2 linked regions of the Lytechinus pictus genome follow. The protein of the gene in region 1 purifies or fractionates together with the protein of each later gene. This does not show direct contact. Links are inferred from orthologs where the notes say so. Each region holds a gene or a part of one and is shown in the gene's direction. Other genes may lie near its edges. The genes, in order: cytoskeleton-associated protein 5-like and SLAIN motif-containing protein 2-like.

The links.
Region 2: the proteins of cytoskeleton-associated protein 5-like (region 1) and SLAIN motif-containing protein 2-like purify together in Homo sapiens (affinity purification with mass spectrometry; 4 studies listed by BioGRID and IntAct, counting the BioPlex papers as one, with this or other methods). This does not show direct contact. The link is inferred for Lytechinus pictus from reciprocal best matches to the Homo sapiens genes CKAP5 and SLAIN2.

What each region holds. Positions count from the first base shown.
Region 1 is NC_087253.1:4,051,593-4,067,937, reverse strand, and holds the start of cytoskeleton-associated protein 5-like, read left to right. Parts: upstream 1-8,231; 5' UTR 8,232-8,316; intron 8,317-16,345. UniProt on the Homo sapiens protein: Binds to the plus end of microtubules and regulates microtubule dynamics and microtubule organization. Acts as a processive microtubule polymerase. Promotes cytoplasmic microtubule nucleation and elongation. Plays a major role in organizing spindle poles.
Region 2 is NW_026974140.1:15,921,529-15,937,041, reverse strand, and holds the start of SLAIN motif-containing protein 2-like, read left to right. Parts: upstream 1-9,222; coding exon 9,223-9,465; intron 9,466-15,513.

The sequences.
Region 1 (16,345 bases):
CGACTTCAGAATACAGGCCTATGAAAACAAGGCCATTTACAGATGTACATGACCTGTACTCTTAGACCAAGTATCACTTAGGCCATGGTCTAACTCTGCTAAAATTATGGGAAGCTAAAAATTTCAAATTTCTTATACACACAATCTGCCTCCATGGGAATCAGTTTTAGTGGTCACTATAGGCAGGTGGCCGCTATAGAGAGGTAGCCACTAACACAGGTTTGACTGTATTTTGTATTCTACATATAAGCACTGGTGGTCACCTTTTTTGGATTCAATTTTAACTAACATTAAGATTGTTACCACAACTGGTGTTTATATTAAACAACCAAAGACAATTAACATAACAATGAGAGTGACAATTTGATGGCAAAGTTACGATAGTGATTTATTTTTTTATTTGCAAAGGGGGGGGGGGGGGTGGTCCAAATAAAATCTTATACTAAAGAAATCTATGTGAAGTGCTCAGATCATTCATTAAGAAAATCATGTTGCAAAACGGCTATATTTGTAAAATACAATATCAAAGATATTTTATGTTGTTGGTACGATTTCTATACTGGTATATATTTTGATGATAAGTATTTTGTACACAAAGAATTTTATTCCACTTTCATGTATTGTAATATTGAGTGTGTGAACATTTGTGTCATATTATATAAGACGTGAGCAATGTGTACAGGTTGAGTTATATTTCTGCAGATTAAAGGAGAATGAAACCCTTGAAACCAGCTGAATCCATATCAAAGAGAACAATCAAAGAAACATAATGTTGAAAGTTTGAGGAAGATTGAATGAATAATAGGAAAGTTATGAGCATTTGAATATTGAGATCACTAATGCCATGTAGATCCTCCCATTGGCAATGCGACCAAGATCTGTGATGTCACACACGTACAACTCCCTCATTACTTTAGTACTTATTTCACTTATATTCTCACTTTTATAGAGTCTATCACAAGGTGAGGTGTTCTCTTTATGAGAGGACAAGTACAGAGGTTTCACAACATTATATCATTGATGAATCGTTTGTCATATGATTAGAATGAGCAAAAAGAGACGTTTTGGGGTATATTTTCAGTGTCCAAAAGGGGAGAGTTGTTCATCTGTGACATCATAGATCTTGGTCGCATTGCCAATAGGAGGATCTCCATAGTATTAGTGATCTCGACATTCAAATGCTCATAACTCTTCTATTGCTAGTCCTATTTTACTCAAACTTTTGTTGATCTTATTCTATGATTTTTCTGCTTTCACAAGAGCTAACTTGCTCCAAGAGTTTCATTCTCCTTTAAATTCTCCAGACTCATCGGCCTGTATGGTGAACTCGAGTACAATTATGTCCCATCCCAACTTTGAAAGAATTCCAGTTTAATTGGTTTTTTTTTAAAGTAAAAATGTGTGAAGAATCAATGGAAAGAGGTTCCCTCATTTATTTTGATTTAAAATGACAGAAAGAAAATATGTGGGAATATTAATGTATTATTTTGATTTATACATTGTATTTTGTAATAATCTTGTTCTGAATATATTTGATTGATTGCAATGTTCAATATCTGGCAAGTTGTAAGTAACGCCAGGGCCACGTCTTACAAAGAATTACGATTGATCCGATCAATCTCAACAATATGGACATCCACCACTGCAATTGTCTTTTCTAATAAGGGAATGGCAATGAATTTTCAAGAAAAAAAATGTATGAATATACATTAGATCTAGAATATATTTTGAACAAATAACAATTTTAGATGTTGACATTGCTGGCTTTCCACAGTTGTGGTTGAGTGGATCTATCGTAACTCTTTGTAAGACGGGGTCCAGGGCCCTATAAAAGTTGGCAATCAATTGCTACATGCCAGTGACTGATCAAGATGAGCGTGGCATGCTCATTTTGCTTAAAGACATTGACAAGGGTCTAATTACAGTAGTTTTTTTTATATTTTCAATTCATCGCAAACTCTTGTGTCACTGGGCCTGCCACGCAGTTTGTTGAAACTTTGAAAAGAAGAAAACGATATATTTTATTCTCTTTGCATTTTAAGTGTGTGAATTATTGAGTATAGGTGCTTTATATGTTCATTGGTGTAGTAAACTGAACAGGTTGTTTTGTTGTCAATTTATGATCAGGAAAATGAAATTTCCTTTAATGATTATCTTGGCTGTGAAAACCTGTGTATGAGAAATTACCTGTAAGGAATAACTGACATTATTTACATTACACTGTGGTATCATTTGTGTTTACCATGGATTCAACTGTTTTCAAATAATTTGAAAATAATGCATGATTTCCCAGATAATGATTAAATACATTGAAAGTATTGACATTGTAGACTATTATAGATATAGGAAAGTAGGAAGATGGGAATGGTCATTTTGAACTATCTAATTCTTTTCATGATATGAAGATAGAATTTCATTCAAATGCCATCACATTGAAAGTATAGTGAATAAAGAGTTGAAACTATTACCCAGACTATGTAGTTTTCGTAAATTTAAGTCCCACACATTCTTATCTGTGTGCGGATTGAGTCAAAAGTTTTATCATGAACACCAGTTCTTTGGTGCATTGTTATCAGCCATTTTACAATAATTTTGACACAGTTTCCTCTATAATTTGAATTTGAAACTAGGGGGTGTTTCACAAAGATATAAGTATGACTTTATAATAGGTCGCACTTAAATGAAGACACATACATGATATGCAACGCACAATCTTATTGATCAATACACAGTAGTGTGCGTCCTCCAGCATGATCTGACCGATGCAGTCATGCCTTTTATACTGCACGCAGCTAGACATTTAAGTGCGACTCTAGGTCATACTTAAATCTTTGTGAACCACCCCCCCTGAACTCTTAACTTTAATTACATGTACTACACACATTGTTTAATTTTTATGTAACGACTGACCTTGAGAATCATCATTTGCCATGTGACATGTATTATAATTAGGTAATCCTAAGAACCCTGTCGGTGGCGAATCCAGGTAGGGGGGTACGTCCGAACCGTGCCCCCCCCCCCCCTTTGAGAGGCACACAAAATATTTTTAGGGGGATATGTCATGGTTAAATTTTTCTCTGAACCAATGAACTCCATTTTGGAGTGAAAAACGTTTTCTTTTTGCTTATCAAATTTTTCTTGTAGAAAATATGCCCCTCCTTTTGGAAAATCCTGGATCCGCCCCTGATCCCTAAGTACAATTGATTGATAATTGATCTGAACTTGCTATTACTAAAGTTCCACAAATGTTTCAATGGGAACATCAATCTCCTTTAGATGGTAGAAAGTGTCTGCATGCTCCAGGTTTCGGAGGCTTCTGTCCTCCCTCCCCCCCGGGGGCAAAAAACAAAAACAAGAAAGGCGCACTTTGTTTTGATCTATCTCACACTTTGAACAAAGCATTGAGCCATGTATGATGCCAATTGTCAACTCCCGCATCTAGTGAACAAATATGTACGGCCGCCAGAGGAGGTGGTCTTGACATTGATGGATATCTTTGGTCACATGACAGGGTTTAGACCAATCGCCTGCCACAGATTATTATGATGGATATAATGAGAGATATCACTCAACAAGCAGGAAGTCTCCAGAATTTTCCGGCTCCGCGCCACTCAAAAGTCTCAGAAACCCGGTTCAGACACTTTCTTCAACCTGGAGAGAACTGGGCCCCGTCTTACAAAGAGCTACGATTGATCCAATCAACCTAATCTGTATGGAAATTCATCAATGGCGTAATTTTTTTCAACAGGAGATTTGCACAATGTCCTTTGTAAAGAAAGACAAGTCCACTGGACTTTCAAGGAAACAATGAATGTGTGAATAATAATAATAATAGGCATTTATATAGCATCATCTATCTAGAAATATTCTATTCCGAGGCGCGTTGCTATTATTATTATTACCCCGGCTTTATCTCGAGCTGCCTCTCAGCACTCATGCATTCAAGGAATTAATCCTGCCGGGTACCCGTTTACCTCACCTGGGTCGAGTGCAGCACAATGTGGATAAATTTCTTGCTGAAGGAAATTACGCCATGGCCATCATATCTAGGAAACATTTTGAACAAACATACATTTTAGTCTAAAATGTACATTTGTTCAAAATTTTTAGGTGTTGGCTTTGATGGCTTTCCGTAATTGTGGTTCAGCAGATCAATCGCAACTCTTTATAAGATGGGGCCCTTATGTCCATGTTGAAATGTATTTAGTTGTAAGCTTTGATCATCCACTCATTATTTTTCAGGAGATATAACTATTGAATTCATCACAGGTGTCTAGCTATCATATATTTTCTTTGGTATATATTGAAACACAGAGTTGTACGAATGTCTTTATATGTATCTATGTTTTGTTTATATTTGTTGACAAATCATGTGCATTCTTACCTGTACATAGGAAATATTAAAGAAAAGAATTCATATTCTAAATGTCGGAATAAAGATGTAGTTCGAGTGTTTATTTTATATATTAGCTTCCTCTGGTGTTCCAATATTGTTTTTGAGATATTTTTTAGTTTGTAGTGCCCCCCCCCCCCAGTCAAATGTCAAAAATGCTACTCTGTTTGTCTTGTTAGGTTTAGAATACATGGCAAGAATTTATGAAGGTTACATAACCCCCTCCCCCCCCCCCCCCACATGTAGCCTCAGTGAGACTGGCAAATGAGCTGATAGGATAGACTATTTCATGAAAAGCTATCTCAGCAGCGATTGTGCAATCCCTGATTTTGGTACAAATGTTGGAAATGCCCAAAGTCCCTTATTTTGACACCCATATCAATTTCTAAGGGTGTCAGCCTTTTTTCTCATTATTTTGGCCTTTTGTTCTTGAGTTTGTATTTAAATGCTTTCATTAGCTGTCGGCTTAATTAATATTTCACTGATTTTGCTCTCCGATATCCTATAAAATACATCAGGATGATGCGTCCATTCCTGAACAAATCCTGTTATCATTTTTACTTGTTTGCAGAGGCTAAAATTTGCTGTAGACCATAGTTTTGTTTAGTAGAGATATGTACGATTTCACCCCTGATGCTATATCGCTGCAATGTGTATGTCTTGATAAATGTGGTGGTGATGATGGTTCTGATGGTGGTGGTGATGATGATGGTGATTATATTTTTACCTGATTTGATGAACATGATTTTGGTGGTGATGATCATGATGGTGATGGTTGGTGGGAGTGATAAATGACATTTGCAATGTTGATGGTGGTGATTAAGTTGAGTGATCTAGTCATGATCTTGTAATGTTGCTACGTCATGAAAAACAGTGGTTACATCATTCTTCTAATGCAGTGGTTCGTTTTCTTTGATTCTCTTCCATTTTCTGCTTTTGCTTTGTTAATAGGCCTACTTCTATTCGTTCTATCTGTGCTTCCTCTTTTTCTTGTTCTTCCTCCTCATATGCTCTTCTCCCTGGCCTTTATGACTTTAGAGAGGGGCCCGGGCGGCGATTAAGGGGGGGTTAGCCCTTGTTGCTCATCAGTGATTCAATTTTTAAAGTGGGGAAAAATGAGAAAAAGAAATAAAGGAGAATACAGGCCCCCTATAAAAAAGAGATCTGTATCATGTTACTTTATTGGAATGATGTGACGGCACTTCCATCTAGCCTAAATTATACCCGAACGTCACCAGTGCCGCCAGCCCTGCTCAGAGGATTTTGATTTTTATCCCGTTGTCCTCTTTTATGTGAACGGGAAGGGGTTTCCCCGCGGCGCCCATGGCTGCTACATGTAGACTTAGTTGTATTCTAACAAGGAGTTTTAAGACATGGAGAACCATCCAACACTTTCCCTATAGCCACTTTGATGCTGCAATGATAAAATATGTTACACATGTTTTTCATTGCATATTTCGTGCAGATTGTAGACAAAAGATTCCTGCCTAACTACAGTGCGTATCAATAAAAACGGGACAGTTTTGAAAAGTCTATCAACATTTTGTTTGAAATTATGATGTCTATATTTTAATATTAATAGATGCTCTTAAGTCTTCTCTTTCAAATGCCATTAGAAAAAGAAGTTTCCTTCATGCTTGAGCGAACACGAAACGTTTTTGTCAGGGGTTCAAAAAAAAGGGCTTGCGCCAAATGGCAGAAAATGAGAATATATTGATGATCAGACTTCTAGCTATCAGCAGCCGTCCTCTCAACATTTTCATTATCTTTGCCATGATTTTTTAATTATGCTGTCAAAAATCATTTACAAAGCTACATGTATTGATTTACTTGAATTCAGGGAAGGAATAATTTTTTAATCTTAGGGGCTATTTTGCCATATTGGGGCGATGGCTGAATTCTGGTGGTATTTCTTTAATTTCAAGGGTACGCGGTACATTTCTCCCCAATGAGTAATATGCTCTGAAAGCATATTTCATTATTCTGACGTAGAATATTGATTTTCTTTATATCTTGAATATTGATGGGGCAGATAATGCGGCAACATCAGAAAAGATGATTGCCCCAAGGGCCATTTTACACATTTTTTGGGGGCTGTCATGGGGGCGAAATCGCCCTTCGCCCTCATATTTTCACTACACTGGCCTGAATTGTTTTGTGTTTTCATTTAAACAGCTTATCTTTTAGCATTGAATATTCCTTCATAAGTAAGAAAAACAACAACTTTTTGTCATTCCATGAGCTAGGAGATTTGAATTGTCTATGCTGGGAAGAGCTTGTAAATGATATAAAAAAAAATATGTGCAACAAAGATTATGATGCCTTTGAAAGACATGAATCCTATTGTCAAGGGAACATTGATTCCTTGAACAAGTTAAATTGTGTACTTGACAGGACAGTATTGTTTAATATGTTTTTCAAAGGAACCGTAACCTTTGTAGCACAAAATGAAATGATTTTGATAAATTACAAGCTTCCTTTAACAAAGAATATCCCCTTACCTGGGTTAACAATAATTTTATTCATGCTAAAAGATATCCCAACAAAATAATTCAAGTAAATAGAATAGTTTTGTAAATATATTTTTGACAGAATAATTCAAAAAGTTATGACAAAGATAATGAAAAGGTTAAGAGGAGTCTGCTGATTAGCAAAAAGTCTGATGATCGATATTTTCAATTTTCTCAGTGCCATTTTGGCGCAAGCCTTTTTTGAAAACCTGACAAAGACGTTCGTGTTCGCTCAAACATGAACGAATTATTTGTCTAATGGCATTTGAAAGATAAGACTTAAGAGCATCTATTAACATCAAAATATACACATTCTGATTTCAAACAAAATTTTTGATAGACTTCAAAACTGTCCCGTTTTTGCATGCACTGTAGCCCTATACAGACTTGCAGGCGAATTACAAAAGGAAACATGCTTTTGTAATGATGATTACTTTACGCTGCTTCTGGTCGAATAACATGAGCAGACACGTGGCTCACTTTTACACTGGGGGACAGCAAAAATGAATGTTGCAATATTTCTTGAAATATGATTTGAAATTATTTGACTGGCCGCATTTGGCCGCAGTTCTGGCACATGGCATCACAAATTGATACATTCCAACAAACTAATCATAACCGTGACATTTTTAGTGTAAAATGTTGACTTTAAAAATGTCAAATTATTCGGTTTATCACAATTTGAAACTGTTATCATTCAATATTTCGCCCAATATCAGGCACACTGCGCCTTTGATATATAATTCGTCATGTGTTCAATATCTATGCATGTGCTTAAATGAAAGTGGAAATATTCCAGCAATAATTCTAATTCGCCTCAAATCATTTTTCAGTTTTTCCATGAAACTGACGGCATCACAGGTCGCCACCAAAGGCTACATATTGCATCTATGTATTTCTTTTGTACTTCTTTACAGGGGCCGCGGAAGCGGGGGGGGGGGGGGGGCTTCAGCCCCACACTTTTTTCCAAAACCGTGTACAAAAACGTAAAAATTACCATAGCCTATGAGTGGCGATTTTTTGCATGGTCAGCTAGCCCCCCCCCCCCCCCCCCACTTTGAAAACCGTTCCGCGGCCCCTGCTTTATAAATTGGAAGCTCTTTGCATATCGTTGTCACTCCATTCTTTTTACCTCCATGATTCTAATCAGGCTAATATAACATCTGAATGGGACAAGAGGAATTTTTATCAATCAATCTTTCACCAAATTTGAATGAACCGCGAGCGTAGCAGACGGTTTTTGTCAATTAACAACACAATGGGAAAAGCACACAAACCTTTGACACGCGAAATCACTAAAGTGAGCTGTATTAACCAATCACGGTCGAGCTCTCATATTCACGGACCCACATCCGATTTGAAAACATTTCAGAGATATAACGGGACGGATTTAGACTTCTACTGCGAAATAGGGTAAGTTTTATCTTTTTAAAAACTTTTTGACGAAATTTCTGATATTTCAAGCAATGCTAGTTAAAGTAATTTGTTTCTCTATTAAACATTCTATGATTTTCCCATTGGAGAAGTTGTAGCGACGTGATTGACAATTATCTCCAATTGACTTTGCACATAAACTAAGTTTTGAGTGCAGTGCAGACTTTGACTGAGAGAGACTTGACTTGAGCTGTGCCTGTGGCTGTGATGTGGAAATGTGCAACCGTGTCCGTGTGATGACGAAGGGGAAGACTCGGCTGCAAAGACATGCCTGCCGACTGAAAATGAAAAGACGGTTTATGAAAAAGAGAGTGAGAGAGAAACTTCAATTGTTCTGAGACTTCTGTGTGATGACAATGACATGACAATCGAGTCAATGAAATAATAAACAAGAATCAAGATGAATTCAGTGAATTTGTGCTTGGGTTGGGGATCATTCATGATCATGCCTTTTCATGGGGATGGTGATGATGTTGTTGACATTATTTGTTGTTTCTGACAATAAATGTCTGATGCCGAGCACGTTACTTAATGGCCAATGTCATGAATATCTGTATATATGGCGCAGTTTTGTGTTGGCTGACTTCAACTTCAAGAGAATTTCCCCTCCAGTAATCGTTCGCAAATGTCAGCAATTCTCTCAATCACATTGCAAGCACCCACGGCTACATGATATTGATACATCTCAGCCGCCGACTACAGAATAATTGAAGGCACGGCGCATTCAACAAATAACATTAATTTACGAGAAATTAATACGAGGACTTACAGAATGAAGTCCTCCTACGAAACTTACGAAACGATGTGAAGTCAATTCCTCATAATTTGATGAATATCCCTCAAAATGCGTCATTTAAGCGTTGATTTTTCTTCTCGTTGACAAAATACGAGAGCTACCTTTCTAGCTCTCAAACTTTTCATCTAATGAGCGAAAGAGGGCGCGCGATTTATCTTCATATCAAAGTCCAAAGACACTACAATTGAAAGACTAGACACAGAAATTATCTTACACGTAAATCGATGCAAAGCGTTACGCGAAGTCGGCAAAGTGTTCAATCTTTTTACTGTAAAGACTTTGGTGGAACATTAATTGACAAACGAACGGTAGCACTTGCGGGGCTTTGTTCAAGGTACATAGAATTTTCTATATTTTTTGTTTAATTTGTCATCGTTTTGAATATTTTCCAAAAAGTATTATCGTCAGCAAAAATAATAAAAAAGTATGTTTTTTAAGTTATTGCATTTATTGGGGTCTATATTTTATCAAACAATTATTGGAATTGCGCATACAATGAATCATGAATCTAGTTTAAAAAATACCACCAAGCTGAATTAAGGTTGCGAACTGTATTAGCGCCACCAACGACCTTCCTTTTATTTCCGTGGAAGAGACGTGCGAAGCCACTTTCCAGGTGGAGGTAAGCGATTTTGCTCTTTTTTGTGTCCTTTTTAAATTAAAAAAATATGTTAAAAATTGATAATGGAACGCTTTCTACCAGAAAAAGCCCTGGTGAGTAGCGGAATGGGTTTCGGCTAACATCATTCACGTTATGAAGCGATGTTAACGGCAACTCTAAAATCCACTACAAAAACACGTTGGTTGTGCGAGGTTCGTATAGCATCCATATACTAACCTCGCAATAGTGTGAGTGATTGCAAGGTCAATATGCCCCCCACTTTTCAGAAAATTGCTATCGGGAACTGCTCTATTTCGGCCTCGATGTCATGTCATCGTTTTAATTCTCAGACATCGCTTTGCTTAGTTGGATCAGATTTGCTGTAATTTTGGATTGAAGTTACTGACCAAAATCTTGCAAACATGTGGCGAACAAACGGATGAGCTGCCGCAGACGCATCTTTTGGTCGCCAAATTCCTATCAAAACTAAGGCGAAGCCAAGCATTGCCAAGGGAAGCGATGTCTGAATATGAAATCGACGATGACCTCGAGATCCAGCCAAATTACGGTACTGCCGCTACCGATCGCGATATTCAGAAAAGTGGTGGGTGTATTGACCTTGAAGTGATTGAGAGACTTGCTATGAAATTTAATTTCACTTTTACTTAGGAAATTCAGCTAATTAGCACCCCCATGGCCATGTCTTCCCCAAAAAATGAACTATTTAGAAGTGTAAACATTCATGAATATCTTTTTATTTCACATAAATGTCAATTGATAATGTTTCTGTGCACCTAGAAATTAATTAAGATTTAAAATCATGAATTTATTTTTATTCCACAAAAACTTATCTAAGATGATGTTTCTTGCATGTACATTTAAATGAGTACATGTACCAAAAGTCTCATAGGAATGTGAGAGAAATGATTTTCTTGGGAAACACCTTGGCTTTATACATGTATGTGGTCATATTCAGATTGAACAAAAAAATGGTGCCCAATGTCTGCACACCCATTCATGTAACAGATGATTCAGGAATTTTGATGAGAAGGCTGCATTTTGAGGCCATCACATTATAAAGTACCTGAAATTCAATTTATTTTTGAACAATTTTGAGTCAGATTTTTAAAAGAATATTGTCCTTATTCAATGCTCCACACTAGCTTTTTTTCTTGGTGGCCCGCTCGATCGGTCCACCAAAATCATCAATTCTTGGTGGCCCGAAAAGCAAACAATAGAAAGCTTTACAATTTATCAAAACTTTGGTAGCCTGACTGGGACACCAATTGCAGGCTTTTACAAAATTTTGGTGGCCCGACTCATTTTTGGTTGCCCCGGGCCACTATTAATGTCGAGCCCTGCCTTATGGAAAGATGTAGATTTTGTGGTCCTTGTGTGTCTTCGCTTTTGAATCGTGCAGATACGCATACATGTACATGTACATTATGTATGTGCACCTTACTATAAGAGTGGCAAAAAAAACTTTAAAAAAGAAAAAAAAAATATTGGAAAAGCCTCGGTCAGTCATTTTCAGATTGAAAAAAATAACCGGTGCCCCATGCATCCATGTCTGCATTGCAGCCATTAAAGGAGAATGAAACTCTTGGAGCAAGTTAGCTTTTGTGAAAGCAGAAAAATCAAAGAATAAGATCAACAAAAGTTTGAGTAAAATAGGACTAGCAATAGAAGAGTTATGAGCATTTGAATGTCGAGATCACTAATGCTATGGAGATCCTCCCATTGGCAACGCAACCAAGATGTATGATATCACAGATGAACAACTCTCCCCTTTTGGACACTGAAAATATTCCCCAAAACATCTCTTTTTGCTCATTCTAATCATATGACAAACGATTCATCAATGATATAATGTTGTGAAACCTCTGTACTTGCCCTCTCATAAAGAGAACACCTCACCTTGTGATAGATTCTATAAAAGTGAGAATATAAGTGAAATAAGTACTAAAGCAATGAGGGACTTGTACGTGTGTGACATCACAGATCTTGGTCGCATTGCCAATGGGAGGATCTACATGGCATTAGTGATCTCAATATTCAAATGCTCATAACTTTCTTATTCATTCAATCTTCCTCAAACTTTCAACAATATGTTTCTTTGATTTTTCTCTTTGATATGGATTCAGCTGGTTTCAAGGGTTTCATTCTCCTTTAACTTTACACAATATTCAAAGATTTTGATGAGAAAGGTTGCATTTTGAGGCAGACAGGAAATGCCTGAAATTCAATGTTTTACCACATTTTTTGAGTCAGATTTTTAAAGGAATATACATACATGTAGATACATGTCTACATGGATGTATCGCAGGTGTAAACTTTAGTTGTTGCGGGTCTTTTAATATTAGAATAGCGTATGTTACACGTACATGTACGTATCGAGGGGCATTGCACAGACTTCGGGCACCTTACCATACTCGCAGCCCGCTGGGTCTGGCAGACTTGGCACGGTCTTGGGCATATGTACATGTATGTATGACAAGTTCCCGCAAGTCTGCGCACACGCGTATCTGCGCGATTCTAGTAAAAGAAGATACGCAACGAACACATACTTTACACATGCAATACATAGACAGATGTTCATTAAAAAATCTGACTCATAATGGTGGAAAAATATTGAATTTCGGGCATTGCATGTGATGGCCTCAAAATGCAGCCTTACTCATCAAAATCCCAGAATCGTGTGCAAAGTGAATTTGATGATTTTTGTTATAAATTTGAAATTTCCATCTTATAAGGATTACCACCCAAAGTTCCAAACAAATATTGAGATCACAGACAGTTTACATGTATAGTGGGCTAACCCCTCATGACCTCCCTACTGTATAGCGCTTTGCCATAACTTCACATCACAAGCATTTTTTTATGCTTGAAAACAGCATGACTTGAGGTACAATTTGAGAAATGATAACTTTTCTTAAAGAGGGATTACAAATGGGTAGAATCTTGTAGATGCAAGAGGGGGGCATGAAGTTGTGAAATTATGTACATTAAAAGTTTCTTTTTTATATATTAAATGTCTATGAGACTCCCAATAAAATAAATGTACATGTAACACAGAAATGTGTTTAAATTTCAAATTACTACATTGTAAAATCAATTAAGAAGCTTGTCGGAGAACTTCCCAAAAGTGCTCCTGGGCAAGCTAAAGGACTACAACTAGTACATCTGTACATGTACATGTCGTACTAGTTAGTACACTGTACATTACATACTGTACATGTAGCAACTTTGAAGATTATTCAGGTATTTTGTTTTTGTTTATTTTCTATTGCCCCTTGGCTTACCTACTACATGTATCTGTTGTACCCGCAAAGTGGTAAATAAACAGTTTGCGATAAAAAAAGATTTAAAGACTGGCTGAGTGGATGATATGAAAAAAAAATCATGTAGAGAGAGAATCAAGTGCTTGTATTGTAAGTGCTGCTAGTTTACATGTACATGTATGTTCATATTGGGTTATTTACATGTATTTGCCAGGCTGTAGGAAAGTGTATCTACTGATTCAGCGTGCATAGGAAATGCTTCACAGGAAATTTTGCCGTCATGACGGCTCAAATCTCCCCTAAAATTCCCCCAATTAATGCATGCTTTTGGGGGCTGCCATTCTTTCTAGAGTTGCCCCAAGCAAACAATATTCAAGATTATTAAGAAAATCAATGTGCTATAAACTATTAAATGGTAGAATTTAATGATATTTGCCTTTAATGCAAAATTGTTTGTTGCCCCTAAAAAGTAGCCCTTAAAAATGAGAAAAATAGCCCCCGAAATTTTGCAATTGTCCTAATGTAGAAAAAAAAACGGCTTAAAAAAAATAAAAAGTATTTCCTACCCTATACTGATGCAGGGCCCAGATACATGTAAACAGTATAATGTGAATTCCTTTAATCCTTTTGCAAGTGCACTTTCAAAACAACATTACAAACACATATTTTCTTGTTGATTTCAGGGCACTGACTGACAGCATACGGTCTGTCTTTGTTTAAATACAGATATGTCTATTCCAAATGCATATGTGCATTTGTCCCTCCAGCATAAAAGAATTTAAAAGTTTAATTTAATCACATTTATCTTTTTTACAGGTGAGCAGGTCTAATCTGATGAGAAAAAAATCTAAACTTTAATAAATTAAAAGTAGAGGAGGGGAGGGGGGGGGAGGTAGGAACAATGAAATTCTTCTACATTCTTCACAGTTCACATCTACATTGTACATGTACAATGTACATACATGTATGTGTTCATCTGAACTTACATGTAACTACACATGTATAAAATGAGAGAGAAAGAGAGCTCAGAGGAGAGAAGGGACTTTGATTCGATGTGTGTATATACTCAAGCACGCAGGCCTTCATCCTCAATCTGAGAATCGGATAGAAAGAATACCGTACACATGATGTACTCACACACATACAGATAGTACGTAAATTTACTTGGTCTGAAAGGCAAGACTACTTGCAAGTTGAGGTGCAATTTATGTAGTTGGAATGGGCATTATTATTATCAGTGGCTGCATTGGAGTCTGCATGTAATGATGCGACTCACTGCTGGGATGCACCCCGACAACGGATGACTCATCCTCCATGTCTATAAATACAATTGCTGTCTGGATAGTCTGATTTCAGACCCATAAAAGACATTATTACAGACAATGCATATGATGGAGTGCATTGTTTTATGAAGGGGAGTGTCAACATGGAAAGATTTCCTGAGTGTATAATGAAAGTTTGTTCCTTTTCATGAGAGTCCGTTTCTTTATTTTCTAAGAAAAGAGATGGATATTAGTTGATGCATGGAGGTTTGGGCCTGCTTGTATTGTATTATGTACATGTTCATAGAATATTTTAATATTTTCTCGGTATTTTGTATACAGTACATGTGTTTACAGATAAAAATGTGTTGCAGTTTTTATCATTCTTTCAGACCAAAAGAAAATAAGAATAGAATACTGTAAGTTGCAAATCAATAAAGTTTAACTGTTTACATATTAACGAAGATGTTTTAATACTATTAATAGACAATTTCATAGGAAAGAGGCAAAGTCATTCTGTTTTCATGTTCCCCATTAAACCATATAAAACACTTTGTACACTCTCACACGACGAAAAAATTTTGGGCTCTCCTCTGACATGTTAACATACAATGTACATGTACCAGACCTGCCAACCAGTACGTTTAAGCCGTATTTAGTACGTTTTTGCAACCAAAATACGGCAGTATTTTTTTTTTTTTTTTTTATACAAAATCGTTATTTATTGAGAAAAATCATCTCTATATGTCTCTATTTCTTAAAAGTTACACAAATATGGTTATTAGATCAATGTAATTTCAGGTAACTTGTTTTTTTTTTCAATCATTTTGTAAAAACCAGGGTGAGATATACACAAGTTTCAATGTTTTTTTTTTTCATCTGCAAGAGCAGTGCGCATTTTAGCTTGCATGCAGCTTGAGCGCCGTGATGGGCGAGTGCGCCAAGCATTTTATTATGAAATACACTTTTTTTGGGGAAAATACAGTTTTTTGTATCACAGAATACAGTTTTTCATTCCCAGAGGTTGGCAGGTCTGATGTACATGTATTGTATGTAGATAGGGCAAGAGTGACATGCATGTGCTGTGTGCACATGTACATGTATGCATGAATGTACATTTACATTATACATACTGTGTTTCACCGAAGAGCAATTGGGCAATCCTGAATCATGAACTCCATTCATGAAATTACACAATTTGGCATACTGTGCAGTGTGCACTATAGACCAGCCACATGTACATGTGCCTCCAGTACATAACATGTACATGTATTGTACATGTATGGTGTCTTTAACATGGAGGATACTGTATTTTCTTTGTGTACGCTTTGAAAGTATAAGTCTAGTTCAGAATCATTCTGTGTTATGATGATGATGATGATGATGGTAAGGATGATGATGATGAGGAGGAGGGGGAGGAGGAGGAAGAAGAAGATGATGATGATGGTGATGATGATGATGATGATCAATGATGATGATGGTGATGATGATGATGATCATGAAGTTTATGATGATGATGATTCCCGGGGGGGCCACTTCCATTGACGAGTGGATACCATGCGCAACCACGGGGTCTTGAAAAGCACCCTAAACACGTATTTTCCATATTCTGAAAATGCACCCCTTAACAAGTATTGGCGTGTGAAACCCTACCCTTAACAAGTATTGGAAACAAATACTATTGGCAAGTATTCCCAGAACTGAGCCCCTAAACAAGTACAGCGATGTATTTTCCGTATTCTGAAAAGGCACCCCTTAACAAGGATTGGAAACGATACTCTTTAATTTTAGCAAGTATTCCCTGAAATGATCCCCTAAACAAGTACAGAGATATTTTATTGTTATGTCACGCGTCCGTCGGTCGTCGGTTTTACCTTTAGACACCATTATTTTGGTTTAGTACGGCCCCACCTTCCACACCTCGCGCAAATCGGACTCTAAACACGTAGTGTTGGGGCAAAAAGGACATCCTTTATAAAGCATTTTGGTTTTGATTTATCATCCCCGCATATTTGACCCTTAACACGTATATTTTTCCGAGCGAAATAGATACCCTTTTTTCAATATT
Region 2 (15,513 bases), on another chromosome or scaffold:
CGATTTTGCTCCCCCTGTGGAAAATCCTAGGTACGCCACTGGGCCCACCCCATCGGCTGGCAAAAAAAAGGGAAAAGAGGGAAAAGGAAGGGAAACGTAGTGGGAAAGAAGAAATTATTTTACATTAAAATATGTATATAGATTATGCTATTTTACATAAGAAATATTTTTTCATAACTTTATGAAACATAATTTGCTCAGGACCTGTGTGTTCATCGCTCCTGGTGGTCACACTGTCTGTTTAACGAGATACATAATCCTGCTTTCAAGTCAATATACACCAAATATATTTCCCTCGCACTTCGAGTTATTATTGTTTTATGTAGTGATATATGCTTCTTTTTCATGACTACTTAAAATGAATTCCTACAAACAAGCCTTAAAATGCCCCTCTTTAGGTCTGAATGTCCTAAATTTTCAGCTCGTGCTTCGCGCTCGTAATATTTGATTAGTGAGATGCGTATGTTAATAATGATTACAATGACTACAAAAAGTGCTTATGTTTAGATGTAATTCTGACCAAATCAGCAAGCGCTTGGCGCTATGGTGAGATGGCTATGTTTAAATATGTATACTCTTAATGGATTCCTAAAAAATAGTCCTTAAAATGTCCCTGTTTGGGGTCAATATATAAAAAAGATTTCAGCTTGCGCTTCGCGCTCGCATTGTTTGTTTAGTGAGATGGGTACGCATTATGATTACACAAATTTGCTTATAATGTCCACCTTTATGTCTGAATATCAAAAATTTTCAGCTCGCGCTTCGCGCTCGCATTATTTGATCAGTGACATACATATCTGGCACAATCTTTAAAATTTCTCAGTAGGTCAGTATACCTGGCAATTGAGCGTGCTTTGCGCGCCCACTAAAATGTTTGCTTGTGCACCCCCCCCCCATGCCGTGACCTACGGTACGCCACTGAAAACAACGTTTGAATTCAGCAACGGGGGTTTCCTTTTTCATGGACGTTGCATGAAACTATTATAATTTATAACAATTTTATGATTGTGATAAACATATAAGAGCTAGGCTTGTATCTAAAAAGAGGCAGATCGCTTTTATAACATCTCAATAAAAATGATTAAAATCGACATAGGCTTACATAGCCTCCTATAGGCTCATTCGTGTAAGGCAAGGGAAGGAATACTGCATGAATTTACTTATCTGTATCTGTATCGTTCAGTCAGCAAAATACCAGGATTGGCACATCACGCTAACTTGAAGAGCACGCTATGTGAAGAGTGGCTCGAAGTATTAATTGATATTTAGTTTAATGATTTTTGAAGGAGTCCAAAGATAGTGAGTTAACTATGTCTGCAGGGAGTTTATTCCAGTCGAGTATGGTCGTTCCAACATTGTCTTGATCTTTAGATAAAAAACGGAGATGACTTTCACATGACTATTTAGACTCAAATTGAGTTGAAACGTTGCCAAAATTAACCCAAACCCCGGGTCCAAACCGTCAACACTTTCTCTCTTCCTAGCGATCATGTACGATGAAAGAAATGTCGACAAATATAGGCACAGAAAATAAACGGGTAAAGTGCCTGGAGGTGTCAATTATGGGATAGACTTTGCAGATGTTTTGCAATGTCAAAGGTCATATGATTAACCCTTCGTGACCTCATTTTGATATCAAGGGCAAGGTCATACAAGGTCAATCTTATTAGCCATCGGGTTTGTTGTGGTCAGGAACAAACATCAGTTCTCTTCTACTCTGTTGAAGTCTCAAATGATACTCGTCAGCATACGTCAACATTCGTCGCTATGCTCCCCTTTTGATGCTCCCTTAAAATCTAACACTCCTCAGTAACTCCCAAACCTACATACAATCAGTCTTTTTTTTTCTTCGCTTCTATCTCGTCATGTTTGTTCATTTTGTGTCTCCCCCTTTAGACATTCTATATCGCGACTCTCACGTGTCTCACCGAGTTCTTGACAGACTCTTCCAATACGCTTCATTTCTCTTTATCCTAATTATCATTTTCATGACGACTTTTTGTATGGTAAAAGAGGAACGGATGAAGGGACCTTTTTTCTCTCTATCTTCTTGCGCATATACGGCTTAAATGTAAGAACTTTCAAACATCACAATCAATAAGCCCACATCAATATACAACAACAATGTAAGAAATGTTGAAAATTCAGTAGTAAAAAATACATTAGATCACTCTCAGCATTACTCTGATGACAGCCACAGTGGATTTTGTTGACAGCCTTCAAAAGTTTCGGGTAGGGTGGTCTTCAGATACCCCTCCCCGCAAATAATAATAAATGAATAGAAAAAATAAGAATGAAATTTAAAAAATAGTGTTTATGACTTTAATGTTTTGATTTATTTCAACATCATACTGGCGTGCAGATGATGGCAATGTGGGGGCACTTACCCCTCTAAATGTTAAAATACCGAGAAAAAAAGCAAAACTAATGAGGAAAAGGAAAAAACTAGAATTTATTACGTAAAATACGTCACATAATTCGATTTCCATCTTTTTAGATTTGATTTTTTTTTGCTTGATCGCGACTATTTAGAAAGTGTCTCTGCATGTATACGCCACCTTCTTACCCGTCATTTTTGTTAACTCTCATCATACGCCACTTGCGATCATCACTGTATACGGGCTTAAAAAACATTTATTTACATTGCACAGTGGATTTGTGAGTCAAGGATACGAATTTGCTGTTGCCAAAATTAAATATTATTTATTTTATATACTTTTCCAAACATTATATAGCAATGCATGCAAAACAGTATTTAAAAAATCAAGTCTTTTTGTTGCCATGGCATGGCAACAGAAAGACTTTGGATTTTTTATGCATCATTGATGAAAATTGCATTAGGCCTATGACCACGTAAGAAATTAACGCAGTCAAAATGATCAGGTAATCTGGTTCTCATTATAGATCCAGATTGGATTTCACACTTAAAGGGCTAAATAATATAGCGAGGCATATGACCATGGACCTAGGTCTATGATATGACCAAAGCATATTATAGAATGAATATGATTTCGAGGGTTATCATAATGATGAATGAATTTATAGTGCAAACGTTGGAATAAATAAATTTTCATTATAAAAAAATCCTTCACTGAATATAAATATTTTCTTGATCCCGTGAATGATATAGTGTATGTAAGCGAATCGCCTGTGTGCATGCACGCATAATATTGATATGTTTTTTAAATTTGATATAATATAGTTGCCGCAGCTGTTTCTTAGGCTGAAATTCAGACCTCGTTACGTAAATAAAAAAAATGATCTCTGACTCAAAATCAAATTACTTAATCCAGCATTTCATAAAACAAGGGGGGTCAGATCGACCACAATGGTGCAAAGTATAATCACTCATTGTTTCATTTCTTGTAATGAAACGTAAGCCATGATTATTAAACGCTATATGATTGTAATACAATAATACTATAATGTTAATCATACTCTGGTTCTATAGGGCCATATAATTTTGGCAACACAAAAATGAAAACCACAACAAAATAATGGAACCCAGGGATGTTGATGAAAATCATCTCTGAAACATATCAGACTGGAATATGAAGGGGGAATATAATAAGAGTCAGTACAATATACATAACGTTGATCATAGTTGATGATCGCTGGCATTATACAGAGACTATTATTGAGTGAAATAGATTTCAAGCGACATTGGAACACGTTAGTTGGCGTCTGCCTTTCAAAACACTGCATTGTTCGGGTCGATCGCAAACAGCCTCGCGAGATTTTCCCTCTCTATTATAAGATTCACAAAAAGCATTATGATCGCCACAATAACGTGAATATAATGCACGAATGATATCAAGGCGAAAAGCCCTATACGAGGTAGATGTGACCTGTTCTAAGCATGATATACTTTGATAAAGCAGTTTGTTTTTTATCATAGGTCAGTTCGGGTCACTGATCATTTATTGTTTACAACTCTCAAGAATCAGAAGTGTTCAATATCAATAGGCCTACTGATCATACGCTCAAACAAAAATACTCGTTTACTCATTATTCCTGATCGTAGTATTAATATTATTGAATGACAACCAAATTATGAAAATACCTTTTACAGAATGAACCCATAAGTGAATTTATACATTGATAAAAGGTATAGGCCTGTATAGGCCAGTCCTCGCTTGTGATGGTTCGGACTTGGAACTTTTCTTTTTCATTGCCTTGATTTTTTGTTAAGAAGACAAAATTTTGCGTTAAGATGTGCATTACAGTCGGTTTGAATATGAGAGATGTTAATCCCGTCTCAAAGTGTTTAAGCTTGGTATATGACGAAGGGATCGACAACATGAGAAATAAGGCAAAATGAACCCACACAGATTGATGATCGTAATAACAAAAAGTTCAAATCGCTGGTGACTGAAAACGTAATTCTGTAAAAAAATCAATTGCAAAGCAACATGAAAAGAAAAAAGAAGATAAAAATCCATATTTTTTGTTCGAAACAGACATGAAATGAAATTCAATTTCAACATTCAATAATGTATCATCATCTTCAAATAACAAATACATTTATTTGAAATAAAGTGCATTTACATACCTATTATTGTTCTTAAGTCCCTCTCCTTGTTCTGATGTCTAGCGTTGAGCAGAAAGTGTTATGTTTCTGGAGGTGTACTGGTGCCCTGTATATATGATCAGCTGCTGATCAATAAATGCATTTGACTGTGCCCGCCTCTAACAGACGATCATAAAGCTATCCGCCCTCGAAACATCTCTCGACTTAGTCGATTGGTGGCGCAGTAGTAAAGTTCATCTTCTTCAACATGAAACTACTTCATTCAAAATCACTTTGAAAAGAATACTGTCCTCTATTTAATCAGATAGACCAGAGAATTGTAAACTCGCTGAACATAATGAGGACGAGAGCAGTAATTCGAACCCACTGGGCTGTCTTTAAAAATCAGATTTGCATTATTTTTTTTTTGGGGGGGGGGGGTCGTTTGAGATTAATTGATTAGGTTTTCGGCGTGTCTTTTTTTATTCTGTTTTCTTTCTAAAAAATAGTTTTCTCAAAAGTTAGTTAGACACATTCATGAGATTCATGAGATAATCAGTTTAATAAGTAACTCCTCGATTCAAGGATGGATCCATGATTGACTGGGGATGGGGTCACAATTGGGGCTCATTGTATTATCTACAGAAATGCAAGCTCCGCCCCAAAAGATGTTTAGTATATAGGTCAAGCCTTTCACACGCAAAATTCGTACCGTACTTTGAGTGAAACTGAATTCGCATCTGGAGTAAAAATTTGAATTCGTGATTGTGATTAGCGTTCGTGATTCTAACCATGTTCTAGTTTGGTTTCACACGTGCTAAAAATTCGTCATGAGCCTTTTCACTGGAATCCAGGGACCTGGGAACGATTTTTTCAGTGGGGGTGCTGAAATCTCTCCTCAAAGGTGGGGGGGGGGGGGACACAATTAAGTTTTCCATAATTACACCCACACACCCTCACCCTCATATATATATATATATATATATATATATATATATGACAGTCACTTCTTAGCTTTCTTCTTACAAAAGAACATATACATGTAGTTAGATAAATCGAGCGCGAAGCGCGAGCTATTTTTTTTTCGAGGGGAGGGATTTCATGTATTTTGTCCTGAAAATTTGATATTTTGAGCAATGTTTGTGTGGTTCGGAACAAGATGCGTATGTAACAAATAATAACTGGGAACGTGATCAGCGCGAGCAGATATTTTTTATATACGCTCTGGCCTGATCGAAAGGGACGTGTTATAAGGACTATTTGCAGTTACCCATTAAGACGATACATCTATCAACAATCGAATAATGCGAGCGCGAAGCGCGAGCTGAAAATTTTGACATTCCGACCTAAATACTGGATATTCTAAGCACTTTTTGTAATCATGAAAAGGATAGGTATATAAATATACAATTGATGCGAGCGCGAGCGGAAACAAAATTGAGATTTCAAACCAAAAAACGAGATATTCTAAGCACTTTTCTAATCATGAACAGGATAAGTATATAACTATACAATTGATGCGAGCGCGAAGCGCGAGCGGAAACAAAATTGAGATTTTAGACCAAAAAACAAGACATTCTAAGCACTTTTCTAATCAAGAACAGGATAGGTATTGATGCGAGCGCGAAGCGCGAGCGGAAACAAAATTGAGATTTCAGACCTATAAACGGGACATTCTATTCATGTTTTGTAAATCAAGAAAATGATGGGTAATTGGATATATTTTGACATTAATAATGTGAGTGTGAAGCGCGAGCAGAAATTTTTTGATATTTTGATCTACTCCGCACTGAATGTAATATGGTTTGAACAGATAAAGAAAAATCAGACGAACATAAGAATAAAGATTTGATCAAAATCCGACAAGGAATATCAAAGTTATTGCATTTTAAAGATTAGCATTATTCCGGTGAAACAGTTTTAAGCATGTCTTCATTAATATTTAATGAGAAAACTGATGATGTCATATCCCCACTTGTTCTTTTGTATTTTAATATAATTAGGTTTATTCAATATTTTCCCTTCAAAAACCAAAAACAGTTTAATTGACAACTGATTTAGTCCATTAAATATTCTTTGCTGCATCTTATTTCATTATAAGGGAGACATATCATTCACACTGGTATGAAAAAAATGAAGCAATTGTGATTCCATGTAATAACACACGAAACAGGATAGTGGGGATGTGACATCTTCAACCCACATGGACGAAAATCCCAGAGGGGACAGGAGGACGTGTCCCCCTACCAAATATAGTAGGGGGACACAAGATCAAATGTCCCCCTAGTACTATTTTTGGTCTTTCATGATGGAGAAAAATACATAACTTCACAATCAAATAATAATGTATTTTGGACTAAATGACCTTACATTTTTGGTGAAAACCTTTTTATTTTATTTTTTTGCTTGTCAAATTTTTACAGGCACTGGTCCCCCCTACCTTTGGTTACAGATTTCCGCCCATGTCAACCCACATATTAAGTATTTATGACATGCATATCACAATTTTCATAAATTATTGCTAAACTGTAGAATTAAATAACTTAACTATTCGTTATCAGATTTTCATAAAATTTATTTATTTTGATAAAATGTATTTGATATAAATATTTTCAGCCCGGAGTACCCCCCAAACAAGCTGCGTATCTGAATAAACATGCGTGTGCATGTTTAGAGTTAGACCTAGTATCTGGGCATTCTACATACATTTTTTTTAATTATAAAAATCAATAACGCGAGAGCGAAGCGCGAGCAGAAAACATTTCATATTCCGATCTGAAAAGGGGTGAAGAATTTAAACACTATTTTAAGTACTGTGTCGGAAAATTCTGAAGGGGGGGGGGGGGCTCTACAAAACGTCGTTCATTTTGATTTCATTTCTGTCATTTATCACACCTACCACTAGCTTTCCAGGAAGTGCTGCCTATGGAAAATAACACATGCAGCACCCCCAAATTTTGGGGGTGCTTCACCCCCAGCACCCCCGCTTCCCAGGACCATGGGGCAGGGCAAAAAAGACTGTGAAATTTGATTTCTATTGTCTTACTTGTAATTGATTATAAAAAAAAAACACGCCGGAGGTCGGACGCGCGCACACTTGATTCGACATAAAACCTGGAAGTTTCAAGTCCAACCACACCCATTTCCCATATTTCTCTCCCTGCTATCATGGATAGGTCCATGCTGCTATCGAGTAGTGTGTAAACCCATGGACCTATTACGAATGATAGTGATAGGTCCATGGTAAACCAAATGTGTAAACTATGCAAGTATCGCGCGCGAACACTTCTGTATCGGAATGCCAGAGCTTGATTGAGTCGTGTTTAGGAGGGATGTTATTGGAATATGTAAAAGACTATGTAAATGATTTGCGATTGTCGGATGTGATAATTATGTGAATTATAACATATTTTAAAAAATACAGGGGGAACCTAATTTCGTGGGGGTGCTGCCTATGGAAAATAATACACGCAGCACCCCCAGGAAATTTTCCCCAGCACCCCCGCTTCCCAGGTCCCAGTACTGAGATGTGATTCTTTCCATGCATGGATGATAGCGGCCTAATGAGCCAACATTTTTAGCGAACATAATATTTAGAAAATCATATAATATTTCACCCTCCTCTCTTTCCTTTCCTTTCTTACTTTTTCTTTTCCGGGGGGGGGGGGCGTAAAATATTTGGGTGGCAATCGCCCCAAGCCCCCCATCTGTATATGGCACCGATGGATGCCCTCAAACTACATGCTCCCTTCCACCATGGACCTACTACTTTGACCATGCTTCCACTCTCCTCTAGAGGGGACATCAGTGCTCCCTTCCCACGCCCTTTGCCCCTTGCTTGTCAGCCAATGACAGGTCCTAGTGTGCTTGTGGTGAAATTCATTACAATATCACTGGCGTACAGATGGGGGCAGGCTCTTGCCTCCCCCTAAAAATAAAAATCCATGTCCGAGGGGGGGGGGGGGGGCGAAAATAAAAGGGGAAAGAAAGAAAAGGAAAGGGGGAACGATAAAATATGATACTATAATTTGTGTGATATTTTGTCAAAATAACACAAAATTAGATCATCATCGTTAAACATGCCCAAACTTCCGCTTGCTCGCGACTTTTTATGAATTTCCAATGTGCCCCCCTGCGACATTTTTAGCTCGTTTATACATAGATCTAGTATAGACCTAGACCAAAAGCGTTGGTCTCTGTTATGTTGGTTGTTCCGCTGAACTCCGTTGGCTCCACTCACCAAAATACGAGGAGAAATTTAAAAAAATAAATAAAAATATTAAAAAACTCCACAAAACAGACAGCTGTCTAGTATAGTCTAGAGTCTCTAGACCCTACTGGTCCTACAAAATTGTTATTTATAATAAAGTTCGATCAATACTAAAATCAGAAGCCTGAATATGCCTATATCCTATGGTATGTTATCAGAATGAGGAAATAACTTGTCTTGATTTAAAAAAATTGCATTTTTGTCCACTCTACTACCCCCTCCCCCCCCCCCAAAAAAAGGAAAAAGATAGTGTCTGTAAAAACTAGACTACATAAATAGAAGCCACAGCCCAAATTGCGCATGCGCAGCCTATTGCAATATAATCAACATGGCGAAGAGTAGGTTACCGTGAAAAGGAAAGGAACGTCAGATAAACATTGCTGTTTTCGTTGATTTCTTCGAAAATCTTCACATTTATCGGAGCCTAGTTAGGTATAAAACCATGGAGAACACTATAGACCCTGAAATTGAAGTGAAAAAGCTTCAGGATTTGGTCCGAAAGCTTGAAAAACAGAACGAACTGCTTCGAAGCAAAGCGGATGCAATCGGGAGTCCGGCATCGAATGGAACTCTGCCATTGACAGAAGCCAACACGAACCTGACTTCTAATGGAGATATCAAATCGGGAAAAATAAATGAGACAAGGACAAAAAACTCTGATAAAGGTCTTCTCGATGCAGTTAAAGTATTGGACACTAATTTAGGAGATTCAGATGATGATACTTGGTGAGTATTTAGACTCTAGTCTAATTCTAAACAACACAAAAAAAAGAAAACCAAAGCCCGGGCAAAGCCAAAGGCAAGCCAAAGGCAAAGCCTGAAACTTGAGTGAAAGCAATGCAAAAGAAAAAGATTTATAGCCAGCGCCCACTCACACTAATAGTAATACGACTACGAGGTTATATACTATTACCTCGTACAAGGGACCGTGTTTGACCCTGGATTTTCGAAGTAGTCGGCAAACATCGCTTCATTGCTGAAGTAACATTTGCCGAAACTCCTCGCTACGCACCGGGGCTCTTTCCGGTATGGTGAGACTACCACATATCGACCACCTCTTTTGAAACCGACCACCTTGCGCGCGTTAAAATGATTGCGTATTACAAACGATACGTGCGGGAGAGTAGGCGCAGTGTCCATAGCTAGAAACGGTAAGAATCGATTTTACAAGAAAAAAAGAAGCAACAAAAAGTAAAAATTTAGTAGAATTACGGTAATCAAAATTGTATTGACCAGACCCAAACCTTGCTGAAAAACCAAGAAATCCGATAGGAAATGGCTTTAGAACAAATATCCGTCGTCAATCGTCGAATCATGTGCCGGAGCTCGCAATGGAAGTAGTGAGACGATAATTTAGCATGTTGACATCATAGAACTGATTTTGAAGAGTAAAAATATTTCGCCACCGCGACAAGAATCGGCCGTAAACTTAGCGTATCGCGGGTGGTCGGTTTCAAAAGACGGGTGCAAATGAGCAAATGTAAAATTGTCGTATTCGTTGTTCGTCGATATATACGCGGATTGAATCGGAGTCGCCAAGCGAAACATGGGAATCTGATCTGCTCAATTTTCTGCACAAATGAGACAAAAACTGGGTAAAATTGATGAATATTTTCGCAGATACGATGCTTAGAAGATTAGGTGGTCGATAAGGGGTAGTTCCAACCATATGTAGCAATACATCAAAAAATTATACTATGATTTGTAAATAATTTCATTACAAAAAGAGCAAATTTTGCTTACCTCGGCCTAGCATTGCCATTAGCAAGTGACTTCGTTTGTCTTTTCTACAGAAATACAAGGAAGCCCGTTGGGGGCGCTAATAAATTTCACAACCTTGATTCAGCTCCTTGGTAATTTTATAACTGTGTCTAAATTCTTTGAATGCGCAATTCTTATGATTAATTTACTAATTATGGGCACCAATAAATAAAATACCTTCAAAAAGATAATTCAAGATTACTATTGGCGATGATAACACTTTTTTGCAATTAATTTAAAGAGAAATTCCAGTAGTTGCAGTAAACACTGATTTCATGAGAAAGTCTGTAAAACCAGGCTTAATTGTCAGTATATCATCGAGGATCTAGATCTGGTACAGTTACATAAACTGAACTTTGTAAAATCTTGAAATCTACGCTGAAAAATGTTCAGACTGAACTTCCCCAACACAGATAAGCGCACGTGGGACAGTGTATAATTATTGCTTTGAGCGTCGGGCCCGACGCTCTACCCGAATCCTGTGCTTATTTGCTGATTTCTCAGCAATTACACAATTTCTTCCAGAATCCTTTGGCACATGCGTTTTAAAATACAAACAGACTATTTGGTGGTGATTTCATTGGATTCTGTACGAACTCATTTTGATATCGTTACCAAAACTAGCATTTACCTTTAAAACGATGACTAATAAAAAAAAAATGAAAAAAATACACATGCCTGGAACGAAACCAGCAGTACAAGCTTTAACGTACGTCAATAATACGGTATACCAAAGTCTATACAATGAAAGGATTAGACACTTCACGGACTTCGCGTAATGCCTTGCTTTGATTTGCGTGTAAAATAGTGTAGGTGCCTACAATTTTCGCCTAAAGAGGGCGCGCGATTTATATTCATATCAAAGACACGACAAGGGAAAGACTAGGCACTGCCTAGTCTTTCCCTTGTCGTGTCTTTGATATGAATATAAATCGCGCGCCCTCTTTAGGCGAAAATTGATATCCACGCTGACCAATATTTATCTCCGTGAAATCTTCACTACAGATCAAGAAAATATGCATATTTTTTAAAAGAAACTTCAAGGAGAAGTCACGGAAGGATCTAAATGATTCGGTTAAGTGTCATAGCAGAATGTGAAATACCAGATTATGCGTGATATTTTATGTGGGCAAAAGCCCAGTATATTTTGGATGTGTCGTGTGTGTCGCGTGCATATGACTGATATTCCTTCGCACGCGAGATGATATGAACCCATGGGTGCAGGAGGCATGGCGTTTACGTTACCTCAGGCTCAAGAGTGATATTCGTGTAGGCTCCACTTCACTACCGCTATACTACGATACTCCTTCCCAAACCTCAAGGTACAAAACTCGCTCTGATACTTCAAGTGACAAAGGTGGGATTTTATGAGGGGAAATATAAAACTTGTGCAACAACATGACCTTAAAAAGAATAAAAAACTTCTTTTCATTCTAATTTCACTCCATATCCATCCTCCTATTCATGAGTGGGACTATAGATCAAGGTCTGATACAAATGCGAAAGATCTCGATCTTTAGTCCCGCTCATGAATATTCATGAATTGTGCTGCGATTTCTGCGCATGCGTAATTTGCCTTTGCGTTGTTTTGGAATTGGCAGTGAATTAATATGTGCGAGGAAACTGTTACTGGCTCTAAATTACCATTTTTTAGACTAACCGGAGCGTAGAGGGCAGCAACACACATACGGCCGTGTGCTGCCTTTCTAGTACTAATATTTGAGCTTACGCTAGTGATGTTTTTTATTCGATCGAATGAAGTCGAGTGCAGTCTCGACGATTGGATTTTCATGATTATAGCGAAGTGGGGGTGAGATATCGTGTCTTGTGGCTAGTAAGTATTCGTTTTTTGGAGTAACTGACTGTTCACTGCAGTTTGAGGAAAAATATGTTTTCCATAATTTTCTGTTTAAAAAGCCACTTTCAAAAGGCCGTTTCCGTGAAATCACAGAAAATTACTGTGTCCCTACATAATAGAGGTACTATCAACAACGAGAGAAAGGTTATCGATATCGCTAAGTGGCAAAAAACAAGGGATTATCGAAAGGACTAGCGATAAAGACGTTATCGATAAGAGCCTTACTAGACACGCATATGGGACTGCCTAGCGAACTATCAAAACAAGAAGGGAAATCCCTTCATATTTAACATTGGAACTACCGATCCTATTATACACCTAATGCGTATAAAGGTAGTACAATTTCGAAAAAAAGAAGAAAAATCAGAGGTTTCTTACCAGACCGATGTCGTGTATCCCTTCGTAAACACTGCAAATACAATAGACTTGACCCAACCGCTTCAATATGATGTAGCTTCAATGAGCTATGTTATGAAGATCAATTCATAGATTAAGATTATTATTTATTAAATGATGAAATTTGAATATTGATTTTAAATAGTTATTATTCTTAAAATAATTATTTAAAATCAGTATTTAAATTTTTTATTTATTAAATAATCTATTGTATTTAAATTTTTTTGTATGTCTTTTTTTCTCTCTCTTTTATATGTATGGAGCAATTTCTTTGTTTTGTAATTTTCTGTAATATTAGTATGGTTTTTTATGTGAAATAAATGTTCTTACATCAGAATAAACAGAGTAAAATTCACTGAGCAAAATGCTGAAAATTTCATCAAATCGGAATTCAAGTAAAGAAGTTATTGAATTTTAAAGTTTAGCAATATTTTGTGAAAACAGTTATATGCACGTAGTCATGAATATTTGTTAGGCAGGCGGATGATGTCACATCCCCACTTTCCCTTAATATGTTATTACATGAAGTCATAATTATGATTTCATTTTTTTATGTGTGAATGATATTTCTCCCTTTTAATGAAATAAGCTGCAGCAATGAATGTGTATTGCATCCATGTTTGTCTAGCCTGCAAAGCAGAGTGAGGCCTAATGTGCCGCTTTTCTGATGGCGGCGGCATCATCATCATAAAATCTTAACACAAGGTTACGGTTTCAAAATGTCATCATAAAGTAGAATGTATATGGACCCAGTTCATGAAACTTGGAAATAAAGAGTAATAAAGTATTACTGAACATCCTGCTTGATTTTCTGGTCTTATGATCAAGGTCAAAGGTCATTTAGGGTCAATGGACTTTAATAGACCATGTTGGAGGAATCAACATCAAAATCTTAGCCAAGGTTAAGCTTTTGAAATTTTGTCAAAACTTTGAAAGTTAATCGATCTAGTTCATGAAACTTAGACATAAGGGTAACGGTGTATCACTGAACATCCTGCCTGTCTGAGGTCAAAGGTTGTGTAGGGTCAATGAGCTTTTATCATGTTGGGGGGTAATTGTTTAATTACCATCATAACTTTTTTGTTGTTGAAAGTTTATGGATCTTCTTCATGAAACTTGGACTTTTTATTTATTTATTTTTTTATTTATTTGTTTATTTATTTATGAAATTTATTCATTATTTATTTATCATTTATTTATTTACCACTCATGGGACGGAACACCCAGATCAGCAAATGTTGTTTTTCATAGGGGTCCATACATGTAAGAGCAGTCAAGTATCACTAAACATCGTATGCGAGTTTAAGGCCAAATAACCAAGGTCAATGGTCATATAGGGTCAATGAACTTTGGCCATGTTGGGAGTATTTGTTGAATTACTATAATAACCTCGAAAGTACACAGGAATAATCTGACAAGCAAAAAAAAAAGGGTTTCACTAAGAAATTATCAAAGCAATTTTTATCCAGGAAAAGTTTAAAGTTTAAAAATAGATTTCACTAACAAATAAGAGCAATTTTGTTCCAGGAAAATTGGACAAGCAAGCTTGCGTATGCATGACATATCCACCAGAAAAATATTTTTTGTGCCTTTCAAATTACAAAAGGGGAGAGGGGCATGGGCCGGATGTTCCCCTACCTGAATCTGCCCCTGATTTGTTCTGCCTCATTGTATTTGCAACTAATTTCTTCACTTCGAGTCCTGTGTGACTACATACATTGTACATGTACATGTATACTACGTATAACTCCAGCAGAGTTACAGTTGCAAATTACAAAATAAGAATAAATATGGCTGTGCCCATAAATAATGCAACAATACATTATGGACCAATTATGTAGACCTACTTGTACATGTATATAATGTTGACTACAATAACTACTATGCAGTAACAATCCACATATTTACATTAAAACATTCTACATCAAATGTAATTCTTGTTGTATTCACCTGTTGGTGAACTTGAGGGCAGTCACATCTTTACTACAGCGATGACTCACCAAGCCAACGTGGATCCAGTCATTCCATAGGGCTTGATGCATCTTCCCATTTAACTTGATGAATCCTCCACAGATAATGTTTGTCATTTTAAATTATGTACAGTGCCAGTATTTAACTTCAAACAGATTCTTTCATGATGAAGCTGGCTGTAATAAAACCATGTTTCTCCTCTCGAATGTTTTCAGAATTTGGCCTACTTTTATTTGATTTTTAATTTTTAGTGCATGTACATGTATGCAAAGACTTTCATTGTATGTTTTGTGTAGACACATGATCATTGATGACAATGATACTTTACAATGACATTGGGTCATCAACATTATAATGCAAATTGAATTTTCATAATTCTTTTAATGAGAGCAGCTAATTAGAATTGATCAATTGAGACACTTAAGGCAGCACATTGATAGTAATATGATTACATTCAGTGGACACACAGAAAAAAAACTAGTTTTGGACAGTCACTTACGGTGAAAGTACTCCTACATTAATTGCTGTTGTATTATATATTTCCTTGTATGTTTTCTTTTTTTCATTGAAGGGGCAAATAAAAGGAAAATATAAAGTCAACGAAAGCTGGATGTCTTCCGCCAGAAGCTTATGTAAATTGTACTAATGAAACCTAGGCACATTTTTCTTCTCAGAGTACTTGAATAGTGTACATTGTAGACCCAATGTTCTTCTCTTTCTTCACTTTCACTTCAGTCATGTCTTTAA